Elephas maximus indicus: one gene and its partners. The protein of the gene in region 1 purifies or fractionates together with the protein of each later gene. This does not show direct contact. Links are inferred from orthologs where the notes say so. Each region holds a gene or a part of one and is shown in the gene's direction. Other genes may lie near its edges.

Evidence for each region. Proteins that work in one complex are often made in the same cells at the same time.
Region 2: the proteins of NAP1L1 (region 1) and MAGED2 purify together in Homo sapiens (affinity purification with mass spectrometry; 4 studies listed by BioGRID and IntAct, counting the BioPlex papers as one, with this or other methods). This does not show direct contact. The link is inferred for Elephas maximus indicus from reciprocal best matches to the Homo sapiens genes NAP1L1 and MAGED2.
Region 3: the proteins of NAP1L1 (region 1) and NAP1L5 purify together in Homo sapiens (affinity purification with mass spectrometry; 3 studies listed by BioGRID and IntAct, counting the BioPlex papers as one, with this or other methods). This does not show direct contact. The link is inferred for Elephas maximus indicus from reciprocal best matches to the Homo sapiens genes NAP1L1 and NAP1L5.

The regions. Positions count from the first base shown.
Region 1 is NC_064822.1:138,213,929-138,225,542, reverse strand, and holds the start of NAP1L1 (nucleosome assembly protein 1-like 1), read left to right. Parts: upstream 1-6,637; 5' UTR 6,638-6,762; intron 6,763-11,614. UniProt on the Homo sapiens protein: Histone chaperone that plays a role in the nuclear import of H2A-H2B and nucleosome assembly.
Region 2 is NC_064846.1:112,999,947-113,010,553, reverse strand, and holds the start of MAGED2 (melanoma-associated antigen D2), read left to right. Parts: upstream 1-5,267; 5' UTR 5,268-5,359; intron 5,360-5,871; exon of another isoform or gene 5,872-5,958; intron 5,959-5,985; exon of another isoform or gene 5,986-6,064; intron 6,065-6,651; exon of another isoform or gene 6,652-6,757; intron 6,758-6,844; 5' UTR 6,845-6,873; coding exon 6,874-6,918; intron 6,919-7,259; coding exon 7,260-7,769; intron 7,770-8,369; coding exon 8,370-8,678; intron 8,679-8,793; coding exon 8,794-8,857; intron 8,858-9,121; coding exon 9,122-9,201; intron 9,202-9,749; coding exon 9,750-9,844; intron 9,845-10,530; coding exon 10,531-10,607. UniProt on the Homo sapiens protein: Regulates the expression, localization to the plasma membrane and function of the sodium chloride cotransporters SLC12A1 and SLC12A3, two key components of salt reabsorption in the distal renal tubule.
Region 3 is NC_064841.1:27,698,011-27,707,401, reverse strand, and holds NAP1L5 (nucleosome assembly protein 1-like 5), read left to right. Parts: upstream 1-5,615; 5' UTR 5,616-5,784; coding exon 5,785-6,549; 3' UTR 6,550-6,551; downstream 6,552-9,391.

The DNA.
Region 1 (11,614 bases):
GGTTTATCCGTTCACTTGTTGAAAGACATCTTGGTTATTTCAAGTTTATTGTGATTGGAAATAAAACCAAACCCAGTGCCGTCTAGTCAATCCCGATTCATAGTGACCCTATAGGACAAAGTAGAAGTGCCCCATACAGTTGATTGGAGATAAGGCTACTATAAACATTCCTGTGCAGGGTTTTTTTTTTTCTTTGTAAACATAGGTTTCAATTCCTTCGAGTAAATACCCAGGAGTGAGATTGCTGGGTCATATTCTAGGTATACGTTTAACTTTAAAAGAAACTGCCAAACTGTCTTCCAAAGTAACTGTACCATTTTGCACTCCCACCAGCAATGAATGAGATTTCCTGTTGTTCTGCATCTACAGTACACTAGCATTTGGTACTGTCAAGATTTTTAAGCAATTCTAATAGTCTGTAATGGTATCTCCTTGTGGTTTTGATTTTGCAAGCACTGCATTTTTTTTTTTTTATAATTTTTATTGTGCTTTAACAAATCAAGTCAGTCTCTCACACAAAAACCCTTATACACCTTACTACACATTCCCAATTACTCTCCCCGCTCTCTCGCTCCACTCTCTTTTCGTGTCCATTTCGCCAGCTTCTAACCCCCTCCCCCCACTCTCTCATCTCCCCTCCAGGCAGAAGTTGCCAACATAGTCTTAAGTGTCCACCTGATCCAAGAAGCTCACTCCTCACCAGCATCCCTCTCCAACCCATTGTCCAGTCCAATCCATGTCTGAAGAGTTGGCTTCGGGAATGGTTCCTGTCCTGGGGCAACAGAAGGTCTGGGGGCCATAACCACCGGGGTCCTTCTAGTCTCATTCAGACCATTAAGTCTGGTTTTTTGAGAATTTGGGGTCTGCATCCCACTGCTCTCCTGCTCCCTCCAGGGTTCTCTGTTGTGTTCCCTGTCAGGGCCGTCATCGGTTGTAGCTGGGCACCATCTAGTTCTTCTGGTCTCAGGATGATGTAATCTCTGGTTCATGTGGCCCTTTCTGTCTCTTGGGCTCGTAATTGCCTTGTGTCCTTGGTGTTCTTCATTCTCCTTTGATACAGGTGGGTTGAGACCAACTGATGCATCTTAGATAGCTGACAAGCATTGCATTTTTAAGATTCATTTATGTTGCCATGACATTTGGTGCTCTGTTGTATACTGAATGCTGTAATATTCTATGATGTGTATTAAAATTTCACTATCCATTTTCCCAATAAGAGACACTCAGATTTTCTCCAAATTACACATATAATTTACTGTCTTTTTTATGATGCCCAAAATTTCAATATCTGCTTTCTTTTTATCAGCAGCTGGTTTTATGGATGAAGAAAACAATATCCGAACAGGGAATGACAAAATCTTCCTGCATAGATTAGATTGACAAGATTTTCTTATATAGATTCTATGATAAACATAGAACTGATATATAATAGTATTTGAAAAAGGACTACTTACATAACGTATTATAACTTCCTATTGTTTTTAATAACTTCTTTCTTTCCTTTCTCACTTCCCTTTTCCTTCCTTCCCCACTTCTGTTTGCTTTATTCTTTCAAATAAAACATTTATCGAAGGTCTTTTTCCTGCCAATCATTATCCAAGCCGGGGGTCTACAAAACAAGTATACCACCCTACAGCAACTAACGGTCTCTTGCATGTGGGGCAGAGGGGAGCATGGGCTCATTAGTAATGTAAGAGCTGTCTGAAACACAGACGGGAATGCATCCAGTTCGGCCTTGGTGAATCAGGGAAGGTTCCTCAGAGAAGATAAGATTTGAGCTAGATCTTGAAGGAAAAATAGGAGGGGAAATCAGAGGGCATAAAACACCTTGTGTGTTGAGGGTCTGGTGAGTACTCAAAGTCGTATAGCGTTCATGACAGTGGGTAGGAGGAGGTATAGCTAGAACATGGGACAAATTCATATTGGGATGGGCTTCGTAGGTCTTATTTTGTCCTGTAGACATTGAGGAGGTTTTATGGCAAAGTAGACTTGATTAGAGTTGTATTTTAGAAGAAAAGCTTTTACAGTGTAAATTGCAGAGGAACAAGAGATTGGTATTAGGCTAGTCTGAGGTTATTGCAAATGGTCCAGGTAAGAAATATTGATGACCCAAGCCAAGGCATGGATTATTTTCTACCTAAGTGGTCTACTTACAAGAAAGCAGAAAATAAATAAATAAAATCTGGAAAGACAGAACCATATTTGGCATGTCAAAAAAAAAAAAAAGACAAATCCAAACACTACAAAAGGACAACATAAGGGATCCTTGTAGTGCTGGAACTGTATCTTGACTGTGGCAGTAGATTCATGACGCTCTGCATATGATAACGTTGTATAGAACTAAATTCACAAATACCCACAAATGGATTCAAGTAAAACTGGGGAAATCTGAAAAGGATTATGGATTGTGTCACTATCCAGATTGTGATATTTATTGTACTGTAGTTTTGCAAGATGTTTACCACGGACTGCCAAACGAATGAACAATTCTGTCTTGGAAGAAGTATAGTCAGAATGCTCCTTGGAAGCAAGGATGGTTAAGACTTCATCTCACATACTTTGGACACATTATCAGGAGGGACCAGTCCCTGGAGAAGGGTATCATGCTTGGTAAAGTAGAAGGTCATCTAAAAAGAGAAAGACCCTCAATGAGATGGATTAACACAGTGGCTGCAACGATGGGCTCAAGCATAACAACCATCATGAGGATGGTGCTAGGCCAGGCAGTGTTTCGCTCCGTTGTACATAGGGTCGCTATGAGTCGGAATCGACTTGACAGCACCTAACGACACAAAACCCACCACCACTGTGATGAACTCAGTAAAGGTTACACAATAGCTCTCTGTATTATTATTTCTTATAACTGCATGTGACTCTACAATTATCTCAATAAAAATTTCAAAAAAAAAAAAAGGCAAAATAAAGGTGTTTTCAAATAAACCAAAAAATGCCTATTAAGCCTTTTGTGGATGTAGAAGACAAAATTCAAGGCACCTTGTCCACAATTCCCTATTCGAGTTTTGACTGATTTTACATTACATTTGTAGATTAATTTGAAAAAAATTGGGGAAAAAAAAAAAAACCCGACCAACAAGACTCAACACTACGGCAATATGTTACATAAATGTATCTTGTACAGTTTTTTGATGATTTTTGCATACTGATCAACTGGAAGGAGGAAAAAATAAACATTTATTGAATAACTGAAATGCAAGTCATTACTCTGGGGGTTTATACACATTTTTCTATTTCATGCTAACGAAGGAAAAAAAAAAAGAAGAGGGAGGTTTTATTCAAGTTATTAATATATTTTAGAGATGAGGAAGCCTGAGGCTCAGTGTGGGTTATTTTGCAAGGTCAGAGTGTTGAGGATGAACCTGTTATGCCTGTTTGGCTTGAAAGCCTGTGTTCTTTCCTTCTACGTAAGGGCTGAAGTACAGACATAAGCACATTTAAGGTACCGTTTCTATTATCATCTTGTCTGGTTGATTCCTGTAGTGGCTGTAACCAATATTTAGAACTGTTGAATATAATATTTTTACAATAATTAGTATGAATTATTTCAGCTCAGGAAAACATGTTTTAAAATTTGTGACAAGATAGCTTTTAATAAAATATTTTACTAAAAATAGTGTCAGGTACTATTAGACGACTGCAGAGTTTTTTAAAAAAATAAAACAAAAATAAAACCTCAGTAAGAGGTTGATAATAGTTAACTTTTATTGATGTTTATTGTGTCAAGCACCATGTTAAGCAATTTACATGTGTTATTTGAAATTTCTCAACGACCTGATGAGGAATGCACTTTTATTGTCCCCATTTTACAGATGCGAAAACTGATGCTTAGGGTGGTTAAGTGACACATTCAAATTTATACAGTTAATAAGTGGTAGAATAGGGATGAGTCCCTGGGTGGCACAAACAGTTAAGTGCTAGGCTACTATCCAAAAGTTTGGTGGTTCAAACCCACCCAGAGGTGTCCTGGAAGATAGGCCTGGAGATCTGCTTCCAAAAGGTCACAGCCTTAAAAACTCTAAGGAGCAGTCAGTTCTACTCTGCACACATGGAATTGCCGTGAGTTGGAAACAACTTGATGAAAAACACCATCAACCAACAGCAACAGAATAGAGATGCAACCTGGGCATCATTACTCAAAAGTCATACCTCTAAACCACTAAGCTACAATGCTGTAAAAAACAAACAAAGAAACCTACCAAATGAAAATGATAGGGATGAAGAAAAATGCAACTTCAACTGAGTCCAAGATCAGTGACCAGAATCACCCTTTACTGTAATTAAATTAGATGAGCTAACTACATTGTGTGATTTTGGGGGTTTAAAAGAGGACTTGTTCAACGGTATCTTCGGGCCAGTCACCTTCTACTCCTTTGTCTCATTTTATTTTCTTAATAGCTCTTTTACCTAATAACTGAAATTATTTTACTTGGTTATCATTTGCCATACTTTACTAGAACATAAACTCTAAATAAAGTCAAGAATCTTGTCTTTCTCTGACAATTCCAACCAGGGACTTGTTAGGTAGTCCTGGAGAGAAGGGCAGAAAAATGTAGAACAAAACTCAAATTCTTAAAAAAGGTCAGACTTACTGGACCAGTAAAGACTAGACGAACCCCCCGAGACCATGGCCCTGAGATACTCCTTAAACTTGGAATTCAAACCACTACCTGAGATCACCTTTCAGCCAAATGACTACTAGCCAAAAGTTTGGCCCATAAAATAAATAACATTACCTGTCAGTACTGCGCTCCTCCAAATGATTGTCTAGATGAAACCAAATGGTTAATGTTTACTCTAGACCAAAGACAAGAAGGCTAGGGTGGATGTGGAAGCTAGATTAATGGAAACAGAACAACCAAAATGAAAATAACGAGAATGCTGATGTATTGTGAAGAATGTAACCAATGTCACTGAACAATATATATATTGTAAAATGAGAATCTAATTTCCTATGTAAACTTTCACCAAAAAAACCCCAATAAAATGTTTAAAAAAAATCTTGTCTTTCTTGTTGATCGTTGTATTTCTAGTGTCTTAAGTGGTGCCTGACATATGTTTATCAAACAGATGCATCAATAATGTGCCTTCCCTGGACTTAGATAGTAAAAGCTTAAATTTACAAACTAGTTCAAAGCACCACATTTAAAAGGGACGAATTATAAGAAATTGTATTAGTTTCCGAGGGCTGCCATAAAAAATTACCACAAATTCGGTGGTTTAAAACAACAAAAATGTATTTTCTCACAGTTCTCGAGGTGAGAAGTGCAAATTAGTACTCTAGGGGAAGATTCTTCCCCTTCTGATAAAACCAGGTGGTCCCTGTCTTCTGGCAGCCTGATTGCAATCTCAGCCTTCATCTTCACATGGCATCCTTGCCTCTGTCTCTTCTCTTTTTGTAAGGATACCAGTCATATTGGATTGGGCCCAACCTACTCCAGTATAACCACGCTAGGTTAATAACATCTTCAAAGATCCTATTTCCGAACAAGGTCACATCCACCGGATGCAGGGGTTAAAACTTCAACATATCTTTTGCGGGGACGCCATACAATCCATAACAACCAGTTGCTATACTGATTGCAACTTTGCCCTTAACCTGTTACCTTGGTTACCTCATCCATAAAATAGTGATAACAGTACCTACCTCATTGACTTACTGTGAATATGAGCTAAAACGTGTAAAACGTTTCAAGTGTAAGCCGTTTAGAACAATGCCAGACACAGTAAGCTAGAGTATCTGCTGCCTTATGAAAGTAGCTTGGACTTCTCTCTTCAAAGAGTTTCGGTGGCTCTCAGGCCACTTTGAGAATCACTGTTGTAAGAGTTAATATTAGTTAATCCAGCATCGACTGAAGAATAGGCAGGAGGCTTCACAGGCTTGAGAAAGATTAAAAAGCGAGTGTTCTCATTAAAAAGCATCCTGAGAATACACAAATATGCCACTTTTCTCCATCAAAAGAACTAAATCATAAATGAGGGCTCACAAGTCAGGTATAAGGAATAGAGGGGGAGCGATGAGGAGCACCCCGGGATGGCCCGAGACCTCTGAGTTGAGAAAAAAAAAACGGGCTTCTGACCCGTCGAGGTGGTCACGAGGAACGAACTGTTGTTCCCAGTGAAAAAGTCGGAGGAGGTAAAAGGGTTATTGGGGGCTGAGGAGTTGCAGGAATTAGGCCAGGAAAAGGATGGGAACTGAGGTGGGCACGAAGCAAGATGCGGCGGGCTGGGAACGCAGTGGCTGGGCCAGTTCGGCCCCCTCCAACCCGGCATGACGCCGCAAGGGTTCGAGGTAGGCCCAGGCCTTGGTGGGGATCACGGCTCCTTCCGCAAAAGGATGGGGTTGAGACTTCCTTTCCCGCGTACCGGGGAGCAACGCGATGGCGGGGCGCCTGTTAGGGGACGGAGGCGGGAACTCAAGGAGCCGAAGCGCGGCCCTCCGCAGCCAGCGGGAAGAATCCCCGGCAAGGTTGCGGAGGTCGCGGGTAAAGGACGGTTCTGTTGCTAGGCAACCTGGCCTGAGCCCGCCTCCCGCTGCGTTACTAGGAGACGGCTAGGCCGGGGGGAGGGCGGCGGAGCGGGACCTACGTGCTGACGCTAATTGTATATGAGCGCGAGCGGCGGGCTCTCGGGTCTTTTTTAGCGCCATCTGCTCGCGGCGCCGCCTCCTGCTCCTCCCGCTGCCGCTGCCGCCCTGAGTCACTGCCTGCGCAACTCCGGCCGCCTGGCTCCCCGTTCTAGCCGCCGGTAACGGTTGGGGGCCTAAAAAAGGAAGGGGGACGTGGAGTCGGCGGGTGGCTTGCGCGGAAGGGAGGGACGAAGGGACGGAAAACCGAGAGCTGCGGTTGCTGGCGCCTGGGCCTCCACACTCTTGTTATCGGCCCCACAGCCTGCGAGGGGGCACCGGGGCTGGGCAGCCCTTCTTCCAGGGACCGCTGAGGAGACGCGGGGCTCGGTGCGGCTTGTGGGGAGCCGGGGTCGGCGCGGCCTGTGAGGCGGGTGGCCGCGCTTCTCTGCGCAGACGTTGCCGTAGCCCCACCGGCTTCTTCGCGCGGACGGGAGTGAGGCCGCGGCGGGGCCCGCGCGCCCTGAGGAGTGGGCAGCAGCTCCTCAGAGGAGCGGGAGTTGCTCAGGGTGCGGAACTCGCCACCATTGGCGCCTCCGTTTCTCTCTCAAAATTAATCCCGAAGGGAGGCCGCTGAGGGGGCTGAAAAGAACGGCGAAGGCTGCGAATTCCGGGGGGGGGGGGAAGGGGGGTTGTGTGGGGAGGAGGCCCCGAGGCAGGGAGGGGCGGGAGATGCTGCAGGGCTCACAGGCTCTCCGCCCACTGGAGGCGGTGGCCGCTTAGGGAGGGGAAGCCCCGCGCGGCTTCCCTCGACACGTGGTAAGGAGCTGAGCGGCCGCTGTTTGCCCCTGATAGGAGCCCCTGGTCTGGGTTGTCCTTTTACTGTAAATCGTAGAGATGGTGGGATGTGAAAATGAATAGTGAGCAAGTAAGTGTAGTCCGGAGGTTTCAACCTCTTTTCCGCTTCTCTTTGGTCTTAATCTTTTTATTGATACCGGAGGGAAGTATCAGTGTTAGCTTATGCATGATGCGGGGCAGGGTCTTCACTGCTAGGATTTTAAAGAATGGCTAGCTATTACTAACATAAGATTATTTTGTGTACTCCCAAGCACAGAACCTGATGGCGTATTGATCAGGGTATTTTAGTTGGAGAGGTAAGGTTGACCCTAATGAAACCCCTAAGCAATTCTAAGATGGACATAAAACATTTGGCCCTGTAAAGGTCTTTCATTATTCTAGGACTTCTGTTGCCCCCTTTTTTTTTTCTTTTTTTTAACAAATTCCTTCCTTTATCGAAGTTTCTAGAATAAGATACTTAACTAGCCATTTTGGTTTTAAGGTGAATAAGAATGAGTGGGGGAAGTATGGGATGGAATGAAGCATTTAATGTACGTTTTTTGAGCCAAGTTTGTAGGCCGGTACCTTGTCCATGTCTCCACTTCTCCCTCAAAAAAAAAAAAAAAAAAAAAAAGGGTCATCGAAGGGAGACGGAGGTTGAGGTCCAACCTTTCGGAAGAAAAAAGGATAAACCAGGTGCAGGATGTGTCCTCAGGGAGCTCACTCCTGTTCTAGACGTCATTGTCAGATCATTAGGCTTGAAACGACTAAATTTAAAAGTCTCAGAAACTTGTGCTTCATGCCTGGTTTCAGGAAACCTTGGAATTTACCATTTTGGAAACGTAGATGACAGCAAAACATCTTTTCAGACTAGTATCTGGGTTTTTGTTTCTTGTCAGCTTATATTATTAATCCTCTACTTAATTGTTTTACTAACGAAATGGTACACATTGTCTTTGATTGCATAAGGGAAAAACCTTACATACAGGATAACCCTTTAAACCGACAGACGATAAATGAGGTTTACAGTGATCCTCAGGGACTATTAAGTTCTAGGCTAGTTTGAGGTTGAGTTCAAATCTGAACTGTATATATAATTTAGCTCTAAGAAGGCTGGTCCTTTGGAGGATAAATGGAACTAAACATTGATAGTTGGACTTTGACATCTGTCATTATTGATTTGGTTGGTTCTCTTTTCAGGTCAGTATTTTTTGTTAATTTGATAAATGTCATTTAAAAAATTTTCACCATAGCAACTTGAAAATCATTGTACCTGTTGATGGTATTAGGCTCATTAATTGATAGAATTATTAAGCTAATACTGAATATGACATGTGGCTGTTATTGTCCTGTAATGAGATGGGGGGCGCTGTACCAGAACTAATTTAATCCAAGATGTTTCTAACCCATATTGCATTCAGGTGACTGGTTCTATGCTAAATTACGAGAAATATATTTAGAATAAAGGGCTCTTTTGTAGGAGAAGGGACTGAAAGGCAGATCCAAAAGATCTAACCAACTAGCTTTGTAAAGCGTTTTATATATTTTCCCTTCTCTCTACTCCCTGATTACCCACATGAAAATTGATGACAATATTATCTGGAGAAGGACATCATTCATGCTTGGTAGAGGGTGAGTAAAAAAGAGGAAGACCCTCAAGGAGATACATCGACAGTGACTGTAACAGTGGGCTCAAATATAGCAACCATTGTGAGGATGGCACAGGACCAGGCAGCGTTTCATCCTGTTGTACATGGGGCTGCTATGAGTTGGAACTGACTTGACAGCACCTGACAACAATATCATGCAAGTGAATTGTAGTTTATACAAAAAAATCACATGGAATTTTGTAAGACAGAAATCTATGGAAGTTTAAAGAGCTGAGCGCTTAGAATGTTGCCTGGCACGTAACACGGTAGGCACTCAAATACTTGCTGAATAAAATAAAATATTTGCTTGCTTTGTTCAATATTAAGGAGCCCTGGTGGTGCAGTGGTTAAGTGCTCAGCTGCTAACCAAAAGGTTAGCAGTTCAAATTCATCAGCCACTCTGCTGGAGGGAAGACCTGGCAGTCTTTTCCCATAAAGATTACAGCCTTGGAAGTCTTATTTATTGGAGCAGATCTCTGTCCTATAGGGTCGCTGTGAGTAGGAATCAACTCGATGGCAATGGGTTTTTGGGATTGGTTAATATTGCTTGGTTGTAAACTTGAAATATTAATGAAAGATAGAAATCAGACGAAATGAATTCTTATCAATATAGAAGTGGTAATGAGTAATCTTTTTGGAGCCTCAAGTCTAACCGAACCTAAAACCCTGGTGGTGTAGTGGTTAAGAGCTGTGCTGCTAACCAAAAGGTTGGCAGTTGAAATCCACCAGGTGCTCCTTGGAAGCCAGATGGGGGCAGTTGTGCTCTGTCCTGTAGGGTTGCTCTGAGCTGGAAGAGACTCAATGGCAGTGGGTTAATGGGTAGCTGATTCTTTGAGTAAATGTTCGAGCATCTGTTTTGTAGTGTATCGTAGATTTTGGGTTATATCTTGAGCAAAACGGGCAAATTGGTTGCCTGAATATATTATAAAATATCAAGTTGTGATTAGTGATACGCAGAAAAAAGATTAGGGGAAGGAGGAAATAGAAGAAGTATTTATAATTCTTTACACGCAGTGGTTAAGTGCTATGGCTGCTAATCAAAAGGTTGGCAGTTCAGATCCACCAAGTGCTCCTTGGAAACTATGGGATAGTTCTGTCCTATAGGGTCACAATGAGTCAGAATGGACTCAAGGGCATGTCTTGGTTTTTTACACACAAGGGAACCTGTTATAATGGTCATTTTTAGTCCCATTTCAGACTACTTTGATTTGAATAAGAAGTATTAGCTCTTTGTTGGGCAGAGTGGGTCTTGGAAGGTGAGCTTTTGTTTTACAATCATCCTTGTAATTTTAGTACAATGACAGCAGATCACTAGAGCACAGTACTGGACTTGCCACAGAAAGTGGCCATTTCCTTTCACTGCTACGTATTTTGATGCCTTTTTTTTTTTTTAAAAAAAACCCTGTTCTTAAGTTTTAAACATTTTGGTATTTATTGGAAAAGAGAGCTGTAATTTTTTAACCTACAGATTACTTTGGGTTATTTTTAAGGTGCAGGGTATAGAAATAGAGCACTACAGTGGTAGATAGCATAGTGGTCAGTTCAGGCACTGTTTTAAAATTTTCTACTTAACTCATTTTAATACTTCTAGAGGTAGGTATTAACATTTTAATGAGGAAGAAACTGAAGTACAGAGAGGTTAAAGAACTTTTTCAAGGGTACATAGCTAGTGATTGAAGGTAACATTTCAAGTGTTGATTGTGTATTGGATTTTAGAGGGAGTTTTCTTGGTTGCTATACATCAGCTTGAAATTCAAGAACATCCTTGGGTTCTACTGTGCTCCAGGGAAAAGTTACAGCACTTCGTCATGGTCATATGTTCCTCTTTCATGGAGTTAGATTACTTATAGTAAGGTAATGGTGTCTTAGCCTTAGGCCTACCTATTCTGTGTGAGTAAATTGCTTCTGTTTGTTAATGCATAACGTTGAATGGCTGGGTTAAGTTTTACCAAATGTCAGGGAGAGTCAGAGGAGCTGCAGCTCTTAATTGAGGGCCAATGAAAGGAGAGATTCCCTTTCATAGAGTGTTAGAAGCAAATGGCCATCTGGGAGATAACGTTTCTCTTTATGCCAGTTGAAATTTGAGTGACACAGTTGGGGCAGGTATGTATAGCATAAGAAAAAAACTGAGGTGACTGTAGATTAGGTAAGGCATACTGTTCTTTTAAACAGTGGCATCACTAGGGTTGGTGTCACCCCCTCTCCCCATGGACCTCCTCTGGTCCCAGACAATACAGAATCCTCAGTAATGTATTTTGTACTAATGTTGACTTGTAAGTCTTAATTCCCATATATCACTTTTTTCCCTTTAGGTACTACTACATTCTCAAAAAAGATATTGATACAGGTTCACAAATGCTGATTGCCACAATACTGTATTAAAAAACCAGAAAATTTGATAAAAACAGCGGCAGACAAAACTACGGTGATTTGAAGCATCATTGTAATTGGGTTGTTAGGTACCTGGAGTTGATTCTGACTCATAGCGACCGTATGTACAACAGAAAAAAATACTTCCTGGTCCTGTGGCATCCTCACGATTGTTGCT
Region 2 (10,607 bases), on another chromosome or scaffold:
GAGACTCTGAAACTTGCTCTTGCATGTAGAGCAGCTAAAGCGAGTGGGAGAAATGATGAAATAAAAGAGCTGAACAGAAGATTTCAAAGGACAGCTTAAGATGACAAAGTAAAGCGTTATAATACAATGTGAAAAAGGCCTGGAGTTAGAAAACCAAAAGAGAAGAACACGTTTGGCATTTCTCAAGCTGAAAGAACTGAAGAAAAAAATTCAAGCCTTGAGTTCCAATATTGAAGGGTTCTGTGGGCATCAAAAGGATGTGGAAAGAACACACAGAATCACTGTACCAAAAGGAATTGGTCAACACTCAACCATTTCAGGAAGTAGCATACGATCAAGGACCGGTGGTATAGAAGGAAGAAGTCCAAGCTGCACTGAAGGCATCGGCTAAAAAGAAGTCTCCAGGAACTGATGGCTTACCAATTGAGATGTTTCAACAAATGGATGTAGTGCTGGAAGTGCTCACTCATTTATGCCAAGAAATTTGTAAGACAGCTATCTGGCCAACCAACAGGAAAAGACCCATATTTGTGCCCATTCCAAAGAAAGATGATCCAACAGAATGTGGAAATTATTGAACAATGTCATTAACACTGCACAGAAGTAAATTTTTAATGAAGATAATTCAAAAACAGTTGCAGCAGTACACCGACAGGGAACTGACAGAAATTCAAGCTGGATTCAGAAGCAGATGAGGAATGATGGACATCATTTCTAATCTCAGCTGGATCTTGTCTGGAAGCAGAAAATACCAGAAAGATATTTACCAGTGTTTTATTGACTATGCAGAGGCATTTGACTGTGTAGATCATAACAAATCACAATAATATTGCAAAAAATGGGAATTCCAGAACACTTAATTGTGCTCATGAGGAGTCTGTACGTAGACCAAGAGGCAGTCATTTGAACAGAACAAGGGCATGTTGCAGGGTTTAAAATCAGGAAAGTTGTGTGTCAGGGTTATATCCTTTCACCATACTTATTCAGTCTGCATGCTGAGCAAATAATCTGAGAAAGCTGGACTATCTGAAGAACTCCACATCAGGGTTGGAGGAAGATTAATTAACAACCTTTGATATGCAGATGACACAGCCTTGCTTGTGGAAAGCTAAGAGGACTTGAAGCAGTTGCTGATGGAGATCAAACATTACAGCCTCCAGTATGGATTGCACCTCAACATAAAGAAAACAAAAATCCTCACAACTGGACCAATAAGCCACATCATGATAAACGGAGAAAAGATTGAAGTTGTCAAGGATTTCATTTTACTTCGATCTACAATCAACACCCATGAGAGCATATGAGAGCAGTAATCAAGAAATCAAATTACAAATTGCATTGGGCAAATCTGCAAAAGACTTCTTTACGATGTTAAAAAGCAAAGATGTCACTTTGAGGGCTAAGGTGTGCCTGACCCAAGCCACGGTATTTTCAATTGCCTCAGATGCATGCAAAAGCTGGAAATGAAAAAGGAAGACAGAAGAAGAGTTAATGTCTTTGAATTATGATGTTGGCAAAGAATATTTAATACACCATGAACTGCCAGGAGAGCAAAGAAATATGTCTTAGAAGAAGTACAGCCAGAATGTTCCTTGGAAGCAAGGATGACAAGACTTCATCTCACGCCCTTTGGACATGTTATTAGGATGGATCAGTCCCTGGAGAAGGACATCATGCTTGGTAAAGTAGAGGGTCAAAGAAAGAGAGTAAGACCCTCAACAAGATGAATTAATACAGTGGCTACAACAATGGGCTCAAGCATAGCAACGATTGTGAGGATGGTGCAGGACCGGGTGATGTTTTGTTCTGTTGTGCATAGGGTCGCTATGAGTCGGAACTGACTCGATGACATCTAACAACAACAACACCTTACAAGATTGTTCTGAGGAATGAGTCAATGTACAAAGAGCAGGGAAGATGTGTGTTAGTCCAAAAAGTGGGTGGCAGATTTCCTCATTTATGGAAAATTTAGCTTTTATTTAACAAAATGGAGCCATTACGGTTGTGGAAAGTTGCCCTCAGGGCTTAGAGTGATACAAAATGAATTAAATTGCTTTGCATATAAAAGGAAGGAAAAAGCTGAGATTCCACCAGCAGCTCAAGGGAGAGACTGGACATGGAAAGGAGGGGAACTGAGAAGTATGTTGGGGGAGAAAAAGGGCTCAACAGGAATGACGGGTGGGGCTCAAGGAGAAGGAACAATGGTGGGAACGGTTGAGGAAATTTCTGCAACAGGAAAGTCTGATGTTCAATTTTAAATTGGTTGCTATACTGTGCTGTACAACTGTCATTCTCCAAGATCCATCTGTTTTTTGCACAGGCCGAATACTTGAAAGGGGATGTCGTGGAAATCACCACCCCTGCAACTTTTAAGTGGATGGTGGCAGTAATCTCTGCAGTCCCTCCAGGAATGCGGTGTTATTGGTTTACCATTTTCCTTAGACGGCGTAGTGGTTAAGAGCTATGGCTGCTAACCAAAATGTTGGCAGTCAAATCCACCAACTGCTCCTTGGAAACCCTATGGGGCAGTTCTACTCTATCCTATAGGATCTCCATGAGTTGGAATCTTCTTGATGGCAATGGGTTTTGTTCGGTTTTTTGATAGCATAGATACAGCTGGTCTCCAGGGCCCTTCTCTGGGCCCCATCTCTTCTAACACTACAAATTCCTCCTGGTTGCTCTTTCCCTTCCCATGAATTAAAGTGCCATTCATATATTGATGATGCCTACATCTATAACCTCAGCCCAGACATCTCTCCTGAGCTTCAGACACGTATATTCAATGGACTGTGGAACATTTCCACCTGGATGTCCAACAGGTACCTCAGAATCAATGTTCAGTTCCTCTTAAACTCATTCCATTCCTCCTTCAGCATTCTATGTCTCAGTGAAAGGGATTACCATCCAGTTTCTCAAATCAGATCCCCAAGAGTCCTCTTTGACACCTTCCCCCTCCTCACCCCTCTCTCCATACCAAGCCTAGTTGCTTTTTTTATTTGTGTAGTATCTTCTTGATTCAATCTCTTCTCACTACCTCCACTGCTACCACTCTAGGCCAAGTCACAATCATTGCTCACTTGGATGACTGCAAAGGTCCTAACTGCTCTCCCTGTTTCCAGGAAGACATCTAATCCATACTCCATACAGCAGCTAGGGTCTTCTTTCTAAAACATAAATCTATGTCATATCCATGCCTAACCCGTTGCTGAGTTGATTCCAACTCATGGTGACCACATGTGTGTCAGAACTGTTCTCCATAGGGTTTTCAATGGCTGATTTTTTAGAAGCAGATCCCCAGGGCTTTCTTCCAAGGCACCTCTGGGGGGACTCAAACCTCCAAAGTTTCTGTTAGCAGCCAAGTGCGTTAACCGTTTGCACCACCCAGGGACTCCATTGATTCCTAGAACTCTTCAATAACCCCTCTGGGCTGTCAGGATCAAGATCAAAGTCCTTACCCTGGCATTCAAGGCTTGCCATGATTGGGAAAAGATGGGAATTTGGGGGAGCCAGAACTGGAAGAAAAGGAGGGGTTGTGCCTGTGTGAAATAAAGCTATGTGGATAAGGGAGAGAACCTAGGAGGCATGAAAGTTATGAGCTGATATGACAAACTTGGAGGAAGCAGCAATTCAAAGAGAAAGAAGACAGGAAAAGAGAGGCCCACCTTGAATTCTTGGGAAATGTGTTTGTGTGTGTGTTGAATTATCCATAGATCATAGGAACTCATGATATTGTTTAGTAAAGGAAACAGTGACTTCATAAAGCATAAGGACTTGTAGCCATTTGAATTACATATGGATGTAGGAAAGGTATTGAATATTGTTTCCGTAACTGACCACTGTGCTGAATTTTATTATTATTTCTAATAGTTTTTAGTTGATACTTTTGGGTTTTCCAGGTAGGCATTCATATAATCTGTCACTAAGGATAGTTTTGTCTATTTTCCATTATTTACACATCTTATTTTGTTCCCTTTAAAAGACTTATGTGAAATTAATATGGTAAAATCGTCATTTCAAATCAGTAGGGTAAAAGATGGATTAGTTTGCATATGGTGTGGGGATAAGGGATTACGACTGTGTAAAATAATAAAGTGGAATCCCTACCTCACTCCTCATACTAAAACAAATTTTGGAATGATGAAACATAAATGTAAATAATAAGGCCATGAAAAGTACTTGGAAAAAACAAAGATTTATAATATAGAAGTGTAGATAGCATCTCTAAGCACAATGAAGAACCTAGATGTGATCAGGAAAAAAACTGATATATTTGACTACATAATTAAACCCTTTTATACAGCAAAAATTATCATAAATAACATGAAAATATTTGTTATATATGTGACACATAAACATATAAGAATTATTGTTCATGGGAATATTATTTCATGAATCTTTTTGGGAGTAAGTTGACAAATTATATTAAAATGGAAGACTTTTTTGTAGGACTTGAGTTAAAAAATACCGTAAATAACCAAATATTTGTAATATATATGACATAGAAACATGATAGTGTTGTTGGGACTATTATTCAGTTTAATCCATTTGGGGAACAAGGCTGCAAATCTTGTATCAAAATGGAAACCTTTTTTTTTCTAGCATTTGACTTAACAATTCCACTTCTATAAATTTATCCTACAGATACAAGCACAATTGCAGAAATATACACATATAAGGATGTTCTTTGTAGCCTTGTTTGTAATAGTAAAAAAAAAAAAGGAAACAATTTAAATGTCCATGCATAGTGGACTGGTTAAATAAATTAGGAGACACCTATACAAGAAAAGATTATACAATTGTTCTAAGAAAAATGTGTAGTAACACGGAAAGATGTTCAGACTATGTAGCTAGAAAAAAAAACAGGTCACAACAGTAGGTATAGTGTACTATTTGTGGGGAGAGAACTCAAATAATTAGTATATGAATAGAAAAAAATCTGGGGGAATGTATATCAAAACGTCAATAGTGGTTATTTCTAGGGGATACGATGTGGACAGTTATTCACTGGTATATTACATATTTCTGCATTATTTGAATTTTCACAACGCATTACCTTTGTAATAAAAGAAAATAAAGATATAAAAATAAATTAATTCAATGAATTAATTGCTCTGAGGGGTGGTTTTGGTTGGAAGGGCTTCAGACCAAGCACCGTACAGTGGCATAAAGACGCGCTTTGGCGTGAGACAGCCCTGAACCGGGCCCCATTGCCCCACCTCCAGGAGGGCGAAGTGGGGGAGGGTGGCAGGGGGCTGCGGAAAGGGGCTGGGCTGTGCTTGCTGCAGCTCTAGTCCAGGAGGCTGAGACTTCGAGAGGGACTGAGGGAGAGCAGACGCATCCCAGACTCGCGGAGGACAAGGTGAGAGGCGTTGGGATTGGGGTTCCCTGGTAGCCAGACTGTAATTCCGGTCCTCTCCATAGCCAGGCAGGTGGGCAATTCTTACTGCACCCCTGCAGCTGGGGGAGAGATGACCCTGGGAGAGAGTGGGATGTAGGCAACAAGGACGACTGAGAGAGTAATAGGCTGTGTGGACTGGGAAGCAGCGACGAGAGGGGAGAAAAACGGGGAATCCGGCATCTTGGGTTGGGGACCCGGGATATGAGGGGGAGGGGAATACCGAGGGGGAATGTAGATCCAGAGAAGAGATGCCGAGAGGGGTTAGGGAATAATGGGGGGGGGGAGCACGTTAAGTAAGGAGGAGGAGGATGTACGAAATGGGAATAGGGAATTTGGTGGGGCAACAGAAAAATGCGATGGGGGAATAAGGAATACAGAGCAAAGCGGAGGGGGAGAATTAAGAATGAGGACCGGGGGAGGGGCAGACAGGCTGGGACGGAAGCCCCCTAGGGAGGCGGAAAGGGGCGGGTCCACTTCCGGCAAGGAGGAGGGAGGGCAGTCTCCGAGTTTCGGAGGGGCTTGGAGAGAGCGGACGCACTCGTAGGTTGTAGGAGAAAGAGGTGAGCAGGGGGTCCAGCTTTGGATCAGAGCCGGTAAGGGTTGGCCTTACTCTCTGGGAGCTGGAGAAAACCTGCCGTAAGGAACGGATCATACCGGATCCGTCTGGTAAAGGAGGGGACTGATCCAATTTGGCTGGGCCCAAGATAGAATCACTAATACTTATTTGAGGAGGGGGTGTATTAGGGAAGGGGCGGAAACAAAATGCGCTTTGCTAGAGTTGGGGGGGACGTTTTATGGAAAGGGGCGGGACCTGGAGGCACTGTTGGTGAAGGGGGTGTGAGTTGGGTAGGGGCTAGGATCACCAGGCTCTGTGATAGTTCGGAGGGAGACTTGCTGGGGAAGGAGCGGGCCAAATGGTACTGTGGACCTGAAGAGGGGCGTGTGTTGGGAAGGGTGCTGGACTGAGACGGTGAACGATGCGCATGTGTAGTATGGATCTCTAGAAAGGGGCGTGTAGAGAAGGGCCTGCACGGGGAAGCGCCAGCTGCTGAATGCGCATGTGCGGGGTGGACTTCGAAGAAAGGGCTTATGTAGGGAAAGCGGGCGGGGCTGAAATGGGCCCAGCTGCAGACACGCATGCGCACTAGCATGCGCACTATCGACCTTCACGTTCGTCTCGGGTTGCTTTGGGAAAAGGGGCGGGGTCCTCAGAGCTGCCGCGCTGGCACATCTTCTGGAGAAGGGGAGGGTGCGGTTGTAGAGAGTTAAGACCTTAGACGCTCTGGATTCCTGTGTATGAGAATGGAGCCGTTGGAGGGGTGGTGGAGGGGGGAGACTTGGGATTGGAGTCCAAAGAAGGTGAGGATCAGCCTCCAGGCAGAATAGGGGAGAGGATGTTCAGTGTTCTTTGGGAGCTCCCCTTGACCCAGGCCTTCTCCCCTTCAGGCTCAGCTCTTGCCAGGCCAACTTGAGACATGTCTGACACAAGTGAGAGTGGTGCAGATCTAACCCGCTTCCAGGTAAGCTCTCTGACCTCTTCCCAGCTTCCTTCTCCATCCCTTGTTGCTGTCCCAAATTCCTTGGCCTCTCCAGTCCCATCCTTGTTCTTCTCCATGCACTTCCCTGCCTGGGCTCTGTCCTCTCCCATCTCTCCCCCAGTGGAGAAAGGGAGGGAGGGTCCTCCCTTCTTTGGTAGTCAGTTCCTGCTCAGAGGAGGCCTTGGTGGGCTGAGGTGGTCAGAGAACATTGCAGGTAGGAGTTAGTACAGGTCACAGAAGTGCGGCTATGGAATTTTGGAGCCATTTGCCTAGTTGAGGGTGGGGAGGAGATCTGTGAGCTTCCCTGCTTCCTCTTTTTGCAGGCTGAAGCTTCAGAAGAGGACAGCAGCTTGGTGATGCAGACTCTACTGGCAGTGACCCAGAATTTGGAGGTCTCAGAGGCACCCAAGGCCTCAAAGACACCAGGGGTCTCACAGCGCCTAAAGGTCTCAAATGCTCCAGGGGGTTCAAAGGCCATAGAGGTCTCAAAGGCCACAGTGGTCTCAAAGGCCCAAGAGGCTCAGGAGGCAGCTGTCACCCATACCTCACCTACCCCTCAGCTGACTGATACCCAGGTTCTGGTAGCTGAAAACAGCAGTCCAGCAGCTGACACCAAGATGCAGAATGCTGACCTGCAGGGTGTGCCAATGCCTGCCACTAAGACCAAAAAAGTCAGTTGTGTGGCTAATACCCAGGTCAGTACAAAGTCCCTGGAGACAGAGGTTGCTGCTTCTCAGGCTCCCACAGATGAACCTGAGCCTAAGGGTACAGCTACTGAGACTCAGGAGAATCAGGATACTCGGCCCAAGGTCAAGGCCAAGAAAGCCAGAAAGGTAAGAGCTCTGCAATCACTACCCTTGCCTTTCCAGAGTTACTAAGTTGCCTGTGTTCATCAAAGCCGTAGGGCATACTGAGAGGAATGTGATATAATTCTTGTCTTCAGAGAGCTCACAGACTGGTGGGAAGATGACACATGAATATGCAGAGCTGCAGTCTGAACGTAATTTAGTTTATATTTACCTAGTAGCAAACATAAGTTAGGCCTTGAGCTAGGCACGTTCATACAGGTTATCTCATTAAATCTTGAAAGTAGATCTTACCAGCTAGGGATCATAATCACAGTTTTAAAGAGAAGGAATCTGCCTCCCACAGAGGTGAAGTGATTTGTCCAGAGTGATGCAAGCAGAGCTAGTAATGAACACAGGAAGAGAAGAAGCCTCAAGCCCCACCCTTGGGTTGTTTCTGGCCTGGTTGGGAGATAAAACTGCCTGGAAGACAGTGAAAGACAAGCCTACGAGACAGGGTAACAAATGGCTAGTGAGTCAGGGCATTACTACAGGGGTGGGATTAAGGGGGCTTCCTGAAAGAGAGGGCGAAGAAAAAGGACCATCTGCTCCACTTAGTCATGTCGAGCCTCTTCTTTGTTGATGCAGGTGAAGCACCTGAATGGGGAAGAGGATGGCAGCAGTGACCAGAGTCAAACATCTGGAAACACAGGTGGCCGAAGGGTTTCAAAGGCCCTAATGGCCTCAATGGCCCGCAGGGCCTCAAGGGGCCCCATAGCCTTTTGGGCTCGCAGGGCTTCAAGGACTCGGTTGGCTGCTTGGGCCCGTAGAGCCTTGCTCTCTCTGAGGTCACCTAAGGCCCGTAGGGGCAAGGTTCGCCGTAGAGCTGCCAAGCTCCAGTCATCCCAAGAACCTGAAGCACCACCGCCTCGGGATGTGGCCCTTTTGCAAGGGAGGGTAAGAACTCTTGTCCTCTCCACTACGCCTTTTCCACTACCTTACCTGTTTTCTTCTGTGGCATGCTTTTAAATATTTTGCCAACATATACTGTTCTTCCCATCATCTTTCCTAGGCAAATGATTTGGTAAAGTACCTGCTGGTTAAAGACCAGACGAAGATTCCTATCAAACGCTCAGGTAGAGTCCTGCTTATTTCCTCCCCAACCCCAAGCTCTGCCCTCCTTTGCCCTCCCTTCCATGTGCTAGGGATAATCCTTGCTCTTATGTTCCTACGGCTGTGCTCCCAAAGTCCTAATTTGTCCGTGTTAGCATCTTTATTCATTAGCCCAGAACCCTGGCTATGCCACCCACAGCAGCGTTGGTAAAGGGCCTATAGCTTGGGCATGGGGGGCTTCCTGGCTTTTCTTGAGCCCAGGTGCTTGTAACACTCTCCCCTTGCAGATATGCTGAAGGACATCATCAAAGAATACACTGATGTGTACCCTGAAATCATTGAACGAGCAGGCTATTCCTTGGAGAAGGTGAAGGGGCAGCCCTGGGGGGTGGGCACAGTGGAGAAACCTTGAATTAACAAAGGTACACGTGTCCCTTATGGAAGGGATCACAGAGACTCGCTAATCCAGCGTGCAGATGGTCAGGCTGGCCTATGGAGGGGTATAGATGAGCCATAGATGACACAGCAAGTCAGTGGTAAAAGCACAGCTAGGACCCAAACCACTCAACTAGCCCTAACTTCTGTCCACTGCTGGACATGCCCTATAATGTGTTCCAGATGTTCACCTCTCCCTTCCATTCCCCATTTTCTGTGTCCCTAGATTCCCACTAATCACAAAGATGATGGTAATAACAATGGTATATTTATTTCATGTTTGTTATGTGCCAGGCAGTTAGCTTAGTGCTTTATATGCAGTGTATTACTGATCTCTCTCTCTCCCCCTCATACACACCCACCCCCCCACCCCACCCCCCCCACCCCCCGCCACACACAAACCTCTAGGAACACCGGGAGCCTTGGGATACCCAGGAGGCTGACTTATGTGACCTCACAAGCTGTTCTCCCCATCCACAGGTATTTGGAATCCAGTTGAAGGAAATTGATAAGAATGACCACTTGTACATTCTCCTCAGCACACTAGAACCCACTGATGCAGGCATACTGGGAACGTAAGCTGAAGGGGATGAGGTGGGAGGGGGAGTTTTGTCCTTGGTACTGCACCTGTCCTGTCCTCTCTCCCCACATCCTCTTACACAGTCAGGAAAAACGGGGCTTAAAAAGCCCCTGGTCAAGCTCCCACACCTGGTTGGAGCTCTGCACACAGTAGTGGTGCCTGATTGTGATTGTCTGAAGGGGTTAGAGGCCTGGGATGGGGCATTCCTGCTGTCAGGTTTTCTGTCTCTCCAGAGGCTCCCCAGGAAAGGAGGCCTGCCGTTGCTTGTCTCTTCCTGCTGGTGCCTAGTAACCTTGTAGAATGGTTTTCAAGGGAGGGCTCCCTGGTGCAGGTAGATCATGATTCTCGAAGGGCAGGAGAGTCATCAGTGGGGCTGTGTCTACAGTTCTCAAAGGGCTAAGGGACCTGGGAGAGAAAGAAGGAATTCACAGAGACTGAGTTCCTGTGTTTTACCAGGCTGACAGGCCTTCTTCCATCTTGGTAACGTGGGGAGGGGATAATGTGATTTTCCCCATTTTACTGAGTAAGCGCCTTGCCTGGGATTGCATAGAGCTTGGAGTATAGACTGGGCAGAGAATTCTTCCAGGAATCTGGGAGCGGCTAGCCCAGTGAGCTGGCTGGTACGTCTTTGGCAAATCGCTGCTGGATATAAACTTTCTTTCCATCCTATTATTCCCTTAGGACCAAGGACTCACCCAAACTGGGTCTCCTTATGGTGCTTCTTAGCATCATCTTCATGAATGGAAATCGGTCCAGTG
Region 3 (9,391 bases), on another chromosome or scaffold:
ATGAAGCCAACCTGTGGACAGATACCATTATGTAACAGCAGGCCTTCTCTGATAAAATCGATCTGTTACAGAATTACGAATTTGTTTAGTCAAGTACCCAAGTGTTTCTTTACAAGCTACAAACCAAACCTGAGGAGACCCTTACTACCAGGTGATCACAGGGTAACCCAGATGGAAAAAAAAGGAGAGAGCTTACAGAGGAATCTAACACTAATCCCCTCACCCTAAACCCTTCAGTTCGTTCCCTCGCTCCTGGCAAACCCCTGGGGCAGCGATTTAATCTGAGGGAGGGCAAAACTTCCTAAATTTTTTTTTTTTTATTGTTTTACTATCACGCAGAAAAAAAGTAGTTTCTATATTGCCAAGGCTTAGCTCTAAAAGCCTCCTACATTCTATCAGCTTATGTCAAGGGGGATAACAGCTTACACACACTGGTATTTGCTCTCTGCCAGTCACTATTCTCAGTGTGAAGGACTCTCAAACCAAGAGTGGTCCAGTGAGCGGCCCAAAGTCACACAGACAGTAAATGGGGACCTGGATTTGAACCCAAGTATCCTAGCTCCACAACCTTCAGCCACGCACAAGTAAATTTATTCTCAAAACTATATCATAAAACTGAGGCTTTTACATCTGGAATGAACATTTAGCCTACCCTGTCTGCATAAAGGGAAACTGACGCCTAGAAAGGGGTTAGCACCTATGGCGGAACAACTCTAGTCTTGACCACTCTGGACCGAGAAGCCCTTCCCCTTTCCTCCCCCTCTTCCTCCCCAGCACATATCTCTCTTGAGCATCCCTAGTAACCTCTTTCTCTGTCCTGTTCCTGTCTCACTTTCCTTGGCCTTCTAGACACATGTGGGTAACAGTTGAAACGAGATTTTTAAAAATTGAGTTATTTCATACCCACATCTCAGTCACCTACATTATCAATCGTTAGATTGTGAGCTCCTCTGGACAAGACCCGAGTCTTGGCAATCACATTTTTTCCAGTGTTGTCATCAACAGATGTCCTGCATGAGGTTACTCAAGCAGCTAAATGCCTCTCTAGACTACCAGGACAAGCAGAATTTATTTCCATTTGAATGTTCCAAATAGCAGCTGTCTAAAGGCAGCACAAAACAATTAAATGTTGAAACAAAACCTCCCAAACTCCCTTCTGCTATATGGCAACTCAGGGCTAGCCCACTCTCTCTCTGCCTGACTCACAAGTTTGTTACATAGAACACTCCAGAAGTTGGATTCGTCTTCCACATTTTGTAAAGCACAGGATGCAGCAAACTGGGCGTGAGCTTTAAATAATGGTTTCTTAAAATGGCATACAGAGCCAAAACACATAAGGCAAATAATTTTTATAAACAAATGCTCTCCTTTCACGCAGGAGACTGGGTTTAATTCACAGCCAATACACCTCGTGTGCAACCGCTACTGTTAGTGGAGGCCTGCAGACTGACAGACTAGGAAGAAAGGCCTGGTGATCGACTTCCGAAAATCAGCCAGTGAAAACACTGTAGATTACAAGAGTCCAATCCCATCGCGCACGGAGCTGTCATGATTCAGGGGCAACTCGACGGCCGCTAACAACAAAGATGTCTGAACGGCTATATTCAGATGATGATTATAATAAAGTACCCTTTTGTGTACATTCAAGGGGTGATTATAATAAATTAATGCACATTATATAAAATACGTAACAAGTTATAATAAATTAAAACCCTTTGCCATTGAGACGATTCCAACTCATAGCAACCCTATAGGACAGAGCAGAACTGCCCCATAGGGTTTTCAAGGAGCGGCTGGTGGATTTGAACTGCCGACCTGCTGGTTAGCAACCAAGCACTTAACCACTTTGCCACCAGGGCTCCTATAATAAATTATGTACTCTTTGTACAGTATGTTATAGTTCATAACCATTTGAACTTTCACTTGTTTGAATTTCACAAGGACCTGCAGGTTTTGTACCCATTTTATATTCTTTTGAGAATCAGCCAAATTAAATGCTTACCCAGGATTGTAAAACCCCACATGGCAGAGCCAAAAGTCCAACTCACTCTGCCCAATCAACCCCGAATGTCATTACTCAGAGCTCAGGAAACCATCATTAACCAAGTCATTATTGAAAACTAAAGCCTCTCCCATCGCACAGGTTTGGCTGTACCTGAGAAAAAGGTGTAAAATCAGGGTGGAGAAGGGAAGTAGGTCATGAAACCCTACCCTGCTGTCGTTCGCTGCAGTCAAGCGGATTCTGACTCATGGCGACACCATGTATGCAGATTAGAACTGCTCCATGGGTTTTTCAAGGCTGTGACCTTTTAGAAGTAGACTGCCAGGCCTGTCTTCCAAGACAACTTTGGGTGGGTTCGAACCATCAGTCTTTCAGCTAGTAGAACACCTAACTGTTTCTACCACTGCAGCATTTTCTTCTCTCTGAAGGCAGATCTGCTCAGCTGGTTAGCAGGGTCAGTTTTCCTGCATAAGCTGTGCCTCAGAAAACAAGTATCAGTCTAGTTAAAGCAGCTCGGGCACCCTGAAGCATCAGGAATCAGGATGGCCTGTCAGTCCCAGTGGCTCAGGAACGAAGGCAATGGCTGTTGTGACAAAATCTGGATTCACTAACAATGGAGGTTTTAAATAGACTGTTGTTGCTGGGTGCCGTTGAGCTGATTCCAACTCATAGCGACCCCATGTGACAGAGCAGAACTGTCCCATAGGGTTTTCTTGGCTATAATCTTTACAGGAGCAGATCACCAGGTCTTTCTCCCATGGAGCCACTGGGTGGCGTCGAACCACCAACCTTTCACTTAGCTTAACACCTTGTGCCACAAGGAACCCTGGTGGCATAGCGGTTAAGAGCCCTGGCTGCTAATCAAAAAGTGGGCAGTTCCAATTCACCAGGCGCTCCTTGGAAACTCTATGGGGCAGTTCTACTCTGTCCTATAGGGTCACTATGAGTCAGAATCAACTTGACAGCAATGGGTTTGGTTTTAGATCTTCTGCGCTACAAGGGTCCTTACGTAGACCCTAAGCTTGTTGCTGTCGAGTCAATTCTGACCCACAGCAACCCTACAGGGCAGAGTACAACGCCTCGTAGGGTTTTCAAAGCTGTGAATCTTTATAGAAGCACACTGCCACATCTTTCTCCTGCAGAGTGGCTGGTAGATTTGAACTGCCGACCTTTCAGTTAGCAGCCCAGTGCTTAACCACTGCACCACCAGGGCTCTCCTATCACAAGGTCTATACTTATTTTTCATCCACTCGTTCAGCAAACATTTGAGTGTTTATTGTGTACCAGACACCATAACTGGTACAGAGACAAGGGGAAATACAAAATTGGACTCCATAATTAAGAAGGTGACAATGTAAGGCAGATACAGACACTGAAATGCACTATGCAGTGGGATAACTATTATAGTTACACGTAGAAAGAAGTAACAATTTCCACTTAGAGAATCTTGCAAAGTGTTCATTGCACTGATGACATTTGAACTGGGTCTTTAAGAATAAAAATTTGCCAGAAAAATAATTCTATTATGAAAAAATTCTGCATCCCACTTTGAAATGTGGCGTCTGGGGTCTTAAATGCTAACAAGCGGCCATCTAAGATGCATCAATTGGTCTCAACCCACCTGGATCAAAGGAGAATGAAGAACACCAAGGTCACACGATAACTATGAGCCCGAGAGAGAAAGGGACACATGAACCAGAGACTTACATCATCCTGAGACCAGAAGGACTAGATGGTGCCCGGCCACAACCGATGACTGCCCCGACAGGGAGCACAACAGAGAACCCCTGAGGGAGCAGGAAATCAGTGGGATGCAGACCCCAAATTCTCATAAAAAGACCAGACTTAATGGTCTGAGACTAGAGGAATCTCAGCGGTCATGGTCCCCAAACCTTCTGTTGGCCCAGGACAGGAACCATTCCTGAAGACAACTCATCAGACATGGAAGGGACTGGACAATGGGTAGGAGACAGATGCCGACGAAGAGTGAGCTACTTGTATCAGGTGGACACTTGAGACTGTGTTGGCATCTCCTGTCTGGAAGGGAGATAGGAGGGTAGAGAGGGTTAGAAACTGGCAAAATTGTCACGAAAGGAGAGACTGGAAGGAGGGTGCGGGCTGACTCATTAGGGGGAGAGTAAGTGGGAGTATGGAGTAAGGTGTATATAAGCTTGTATGTGACAGACTGACTTGATTTGTAAACTTCCACTTAAAGCACAATAAAAATTATTAAAAAAAAAAATTTGCCAGAAGATGGGTGAGAAGGACATTCTACACAGTGGAACAAAGTTATAGAAGCACATGACTTGTTTAGAAAGTTGTTAGCTCCTGTCGAGTCAGCCTTTGACTCATGTGGACCTCACGCACTACCAGATGAAATGCTTCTCCATCCCCACGAGGGGTTGGGGATCAGACCACTGTGAGCCACAGAGTTTTCACTGGCTGATTTTTCAGAAGTAGATTGCCAGGCCTTTCATCCTAGTTCATCTTAGTCTGGAAGCTCTGCTAAAATCTGTTCAGCATCATAGCAACACACAACCCTCCACTGACAGAACGGTGGTGGCTGTGCGTGAGGTAAACGGGCTGGAAATCAAATCTGGGTATCTGGCATGGAAAGCAGGAACTCTACCACTGAGCCACCAACGCCTCAATGTTTAGAAAGTAGAGATATACTACTGTTTTATGACCCTGAGAGAAATAGGGTGGGTGCTGTATTTCAATGTATTAAATATTCTTAATGACTTTGAATCTGTTTTTTGGCATATTTATAAAAAGCTTCTATCACCCCCACCTCCCAAACCCTAGAGAAGTAAAAGCCTGGTTCCATTAAAAGGGGCAGATCCCAACCAGAGGAACAAAGGAGTTTGGTTTACCAACAGGTCAGTAAACTATAAATTTTTTAAACTCACCTGTGTTAAGAGAAGGTTGCTGGAAACTAGTTTTTTAATCTTTATTATCATCACTATACAAAGGAGCCCTGGTGGTGCAGTGGTTAAGAGCTACAGCTGCTAACCGAAAGGTCAGCAGTTCGAATCCACCAGCTGCTCCCTGAAAACCCTATGGGGCAGTTCTACTCTGTTCTATAGGGTCCCTGTGAGTTGGAATCGACTGGAGGGCATCGGGTTTTTTTTTTTTTTTTTAATACCATCAAACAAGGTGTCCAGTCCAGAGCTACTTAAAGGGTGGTCTCCACAGACTGGCACATCTGAAATGCAAATTCTTGTGCCCCAACTCTACCTGCTGGATTAGAATCTCTGGGGGTGGGACCCAGAAATCTCTCCAGGTGATTCTTTTCCAAGTTGGAGTTTGAGAAACAATGGCCTAGTCGATTCAGAGTGAAGCTGTCCTTCAATGAAACAGTCTTCCATCGGGCAGTTTTTATTACTGATTTTCTGTGTGACGGTAACGGGTGAATACCCTTGGATGGAACGCTGCTAACAGCAGGGCCTGCAATGACCAACTGCAGTAGGACGTTTGAATGACCGCTGTCAAGAGTCCCTTAATGGCCACTTGCATGAACTCCTACTTCTCTTTCAAGACTCCTTCTCTGTGAGGTCCCCACCGCCGCCTCCTGCGCACAGAACTGATCTTTTAACGCTCTGTGGGCCACGCTTTCTGTGCCAACATGCGTCTTGGATGTACCTCTGTGTCTGCACCTCCCCTACCTCAGTGGGAGGTTTTGTTCCTGTTCGACTCCCCTGTGAGGTCTCTGAGAGCAGAAACCCGGACTGCGTCATCTGGGTATCCAAGCTCCGAGGCTGACGCGCAGCTGGTGCGCAAACATGAACGGATGGGAAGGGGGCCTGAGATCCGCCCGAAATCGCAGGGTCGGGGAGGCGACGGGCGAGGCGTCTACTTCCGGGCCTCGGGGCCGCTCGGCGGCCTCCTTTTGTGCGGGTCTCGCGTCACAGGCCCGCCGCCCGGCCGCCCCTCGCCGCCTCCGCTCCCTCCGCCCGCGGCTCCTCCCCGCCGAGGCCGACTCGCCGCGGCCGCATCCACGAGTGCTGCCCGGTCCTGCTCGGGCGCCGGGCCTCGGCGAGAGCACCCTAGACCCGTGCGGCTTGCCCTCTGACACGGCAGACCCGGCAAACGCGGGATCTGCGGCGCCGAGCGCGGCGGCTGCGGAGGAGGTGATGGCGGCCGCCGGCGCGCAGGGTGGAGACGACGGCAGCGCGGAGGGGCCGATGGCGGCGGCGCCCCAGCCGCCGGCCGAGAACGCGGCGAAGCCTAGAAATGACTTTCTCGAGAGCCTGCACAGCTCGGTGAAATGCCGAGTCCTTGCCCTCAAAAAGCTTCAGAAGCGATGCGATAAGATAGAAGCCAAATTTGATAAGGAATTCCAGGCTCTGGAAAAGAAGTATAATGACATCTACAAGCCCTTACTTGCCAAGATCCATGAGCTCACCGGCGAAATGGAGGGATGTGCCTGGACCTTAGAGGCCGAGGAGGAGGAGGAAGACGAGGACGAGCAGGTGGAGGAAGAAAAGGAGGAGGAGTCGGACGATGAGGACCCTCACTCTGACGTGTCAGATGACGCGGATAAATAAGAGGTGGCAGAAATTGAAGAGAAAGAAGACCAAGGAGAAAAAAAAGAAACCCCAAACAAACAATTGTGAACGTTGGTGGACTTTAAAAAGGCTCAGGTTTTTGACTAAAATACAGTGTGAACCTATTCTTATGTCCCTAAAATATATTAAATGAAGCAATCAGGTCCTGGCCAGCCCACAAGTTTAAGATTTGATTTTCATTTTGAACACAATAAATATATTAAAAGCGTTTGAAGAAGAGCAGTTAAAACTATATTTTTTCTTGATTTCTTCTGTGAAAATTGGAAACTGAGGCTTACACAGGGTGTCAAGTAGATGTGAAATAAAGAATGTCCATTTGAAACCCATTCATCAAACTATCACACTATAAATGGAACACCGAGCCGAGACTGAACACATTCTCAGAGCTAAATTCTTCAATTCCTTTAGTCCTCCTGAAATTTCCTAGTGCAGAAAAAGCAGAGCCCAAGAAAAATGTTATCTTTGTTTAAGATGGCTGTGTAACCCAGAGATCAGCTTTCCACGTCAGGGGAGAGTGTTGGGAAGGAGAAAGCCTGCGATGGAGATCATGACACTACTGTTGATGAGGCCAGGAAAACTGCCACTTCAAGTTCTGAAGAATGTTCTCGAATATCTGAATTTAGGGAAACAACCTGGATCAGTGAAGGAAGACATATAACCTGTATATCTTAAAAATACTTATTCATTACTTACAATCTCATGTTTATGTGTTTTCTTGGTACTGTCTATTTACGAAAGTTAAAAAAAAGTGAAAAAGTTTATTAAATTACTCCCTATGATTCTGAAGAATTCACTTTCTTGAAGAGATGTAGAATACAGCAAATTCTCTAAAGCATGTGTACCCAGTGTTACGGAGTTTGATCCTCGTGAGGTCTTTTTGTCATGTAGCTTTTAGAGTGTAGCTGTGAAAATGATAAGAATTCTTCACTGAAACTAGTATGTTTGGAAAAATATACTCTTGAAGAACCAATCCAAGTGTGTCCTCACCCCCAGCTCATAAGTAGCTTGTGTTAGCTGTGCCTTCATTATTTCCCCATGTAAATGTGACATATTAAATATAAGATGGTGCATAATCAAATTTTACTGCTTGAAGATAGACTGGCAAACAGAAGGATTTTCAGGAAGAACACATTTAATGTAAAGATTCAGCTTTTTTGTCAGTTTTGAATTATGTGTGACCCACTGATCTATAAAGAAACATAAGCATAAGGTTGTTTCCTGCTGTGGTGTTAATAAAACTTAGTCTTTCCAAACATTTTCCTCTTCTCACACTGTGTATCGGGTAAATAAGGTAACTAAGCATATTTTCTGTCTGGTAAATCTTCACTAACATTGCCACTTTATCATTCTTTATAACTTAAAATGAATAGAATCATTAAATAAGAATCAACGAGGAAATGAATGTTTCCACAGGCAACGGTTTTTGTTTGAAGCTAGGTACTTATCCACACAGGTCATGAGGATAATAACAATGTATTCACTGCTTCTTGCCTAGCACTTAGTGCAGTACCTGGCATACAGTATGTATTTAGCAAGTCCTTCTGGAATGAGTGAATGTCCGTAATCACACTTAGAAGTACATATGTAATGTTTGAAAAAGAAATAAGTTGGTGATTCCCATATATCTGAAACTATCAAGACATGCATTACTATATCCCATAATTAAGAGATTATTAACACATAATTTTAGCAAATAACTAAGAAAGTTAAATCTAGAAAATGGCGGAAGTCTGCACACACACGTCTGTGCGCTCACACACACACACACAAATTTGGAAATGGCCTACTAAATTGTAGTTATCCAGGACCTGTATTGGGAGAAAAGGACACAAATTTCCGAGAAAGTTAATCAACTAAATCAATTCCTCAGAAGATTAATGATTACTCATTCTACTTCAGATGCCTGATAGGTTTAGTTGGGAAAGTCAGCCACAGTCACATGTCAACTGAACAAATGTTTACTCTAGGTGGAATTCTGCAGAGAAGCCCTACTAGATGGAATTCACAATGTAACAGTACCATTAAAGATCCCTCCTCACTGACCTGGTTCTCAGATACCTCCAGAGTGATTGATCTCTCTTGACCTTGCTCTCTCTAATCTAGGTCTCAGCCCTTGTTTCTTCATACATCTTTCCTCACCAAATCCCATTCCTAAGGGTTCAATCCTTATTAAACTGGATGCAAATGAGATCATACAATTTTAAAACACAAAAGGCCTATGTATGTATGTATATTGACTCCCTCCTTTGAATATCGAAGAAACTGAGGAACAGAAGGCTGTCATAACAAGCCCCAAAGTTCCCAGTTTGCAGATTCACTACATTTCCGCTGAAAAATGTTTCAGCACAGAAAGTTTCTGCAACCCTAGCTTTTCTTTCTCTTCCCTTGCATAGCAAAATTACCTAACTTTATACTTATTTTTGTTGTTTTAAGTTTGCCCTTCCACTTTTCTGTTCCAGATGACTTCCAGAACTACAGCTATAGATCCATGTTTCGACCGCACCATTCTAAACACTCAAATTCTGCAATCTTTTTTAGAGGTGTTCAGTGATCTGACCCCTGAGCTCTCTTTGACATCACTGGCTTTCTTCACTTTTGTTGCCTTTCAACATACTTAGAATACTAGAGCTGGAAGGAAAACTACAGAGCAGCCTTTCCCCGAACAGTTCTTTCGAACAGCAGCTTGAGAAGATGGTAATTCTTGGAACAAAAAGCCAGGACTTGTATAACTTTGTAATAAACTAAGCTTGGGAAATGCTGCATAACTAAACTCTTCTCTCAGAGATTCACAAAGCACATCAGCTTTTCAAAGACACTGACA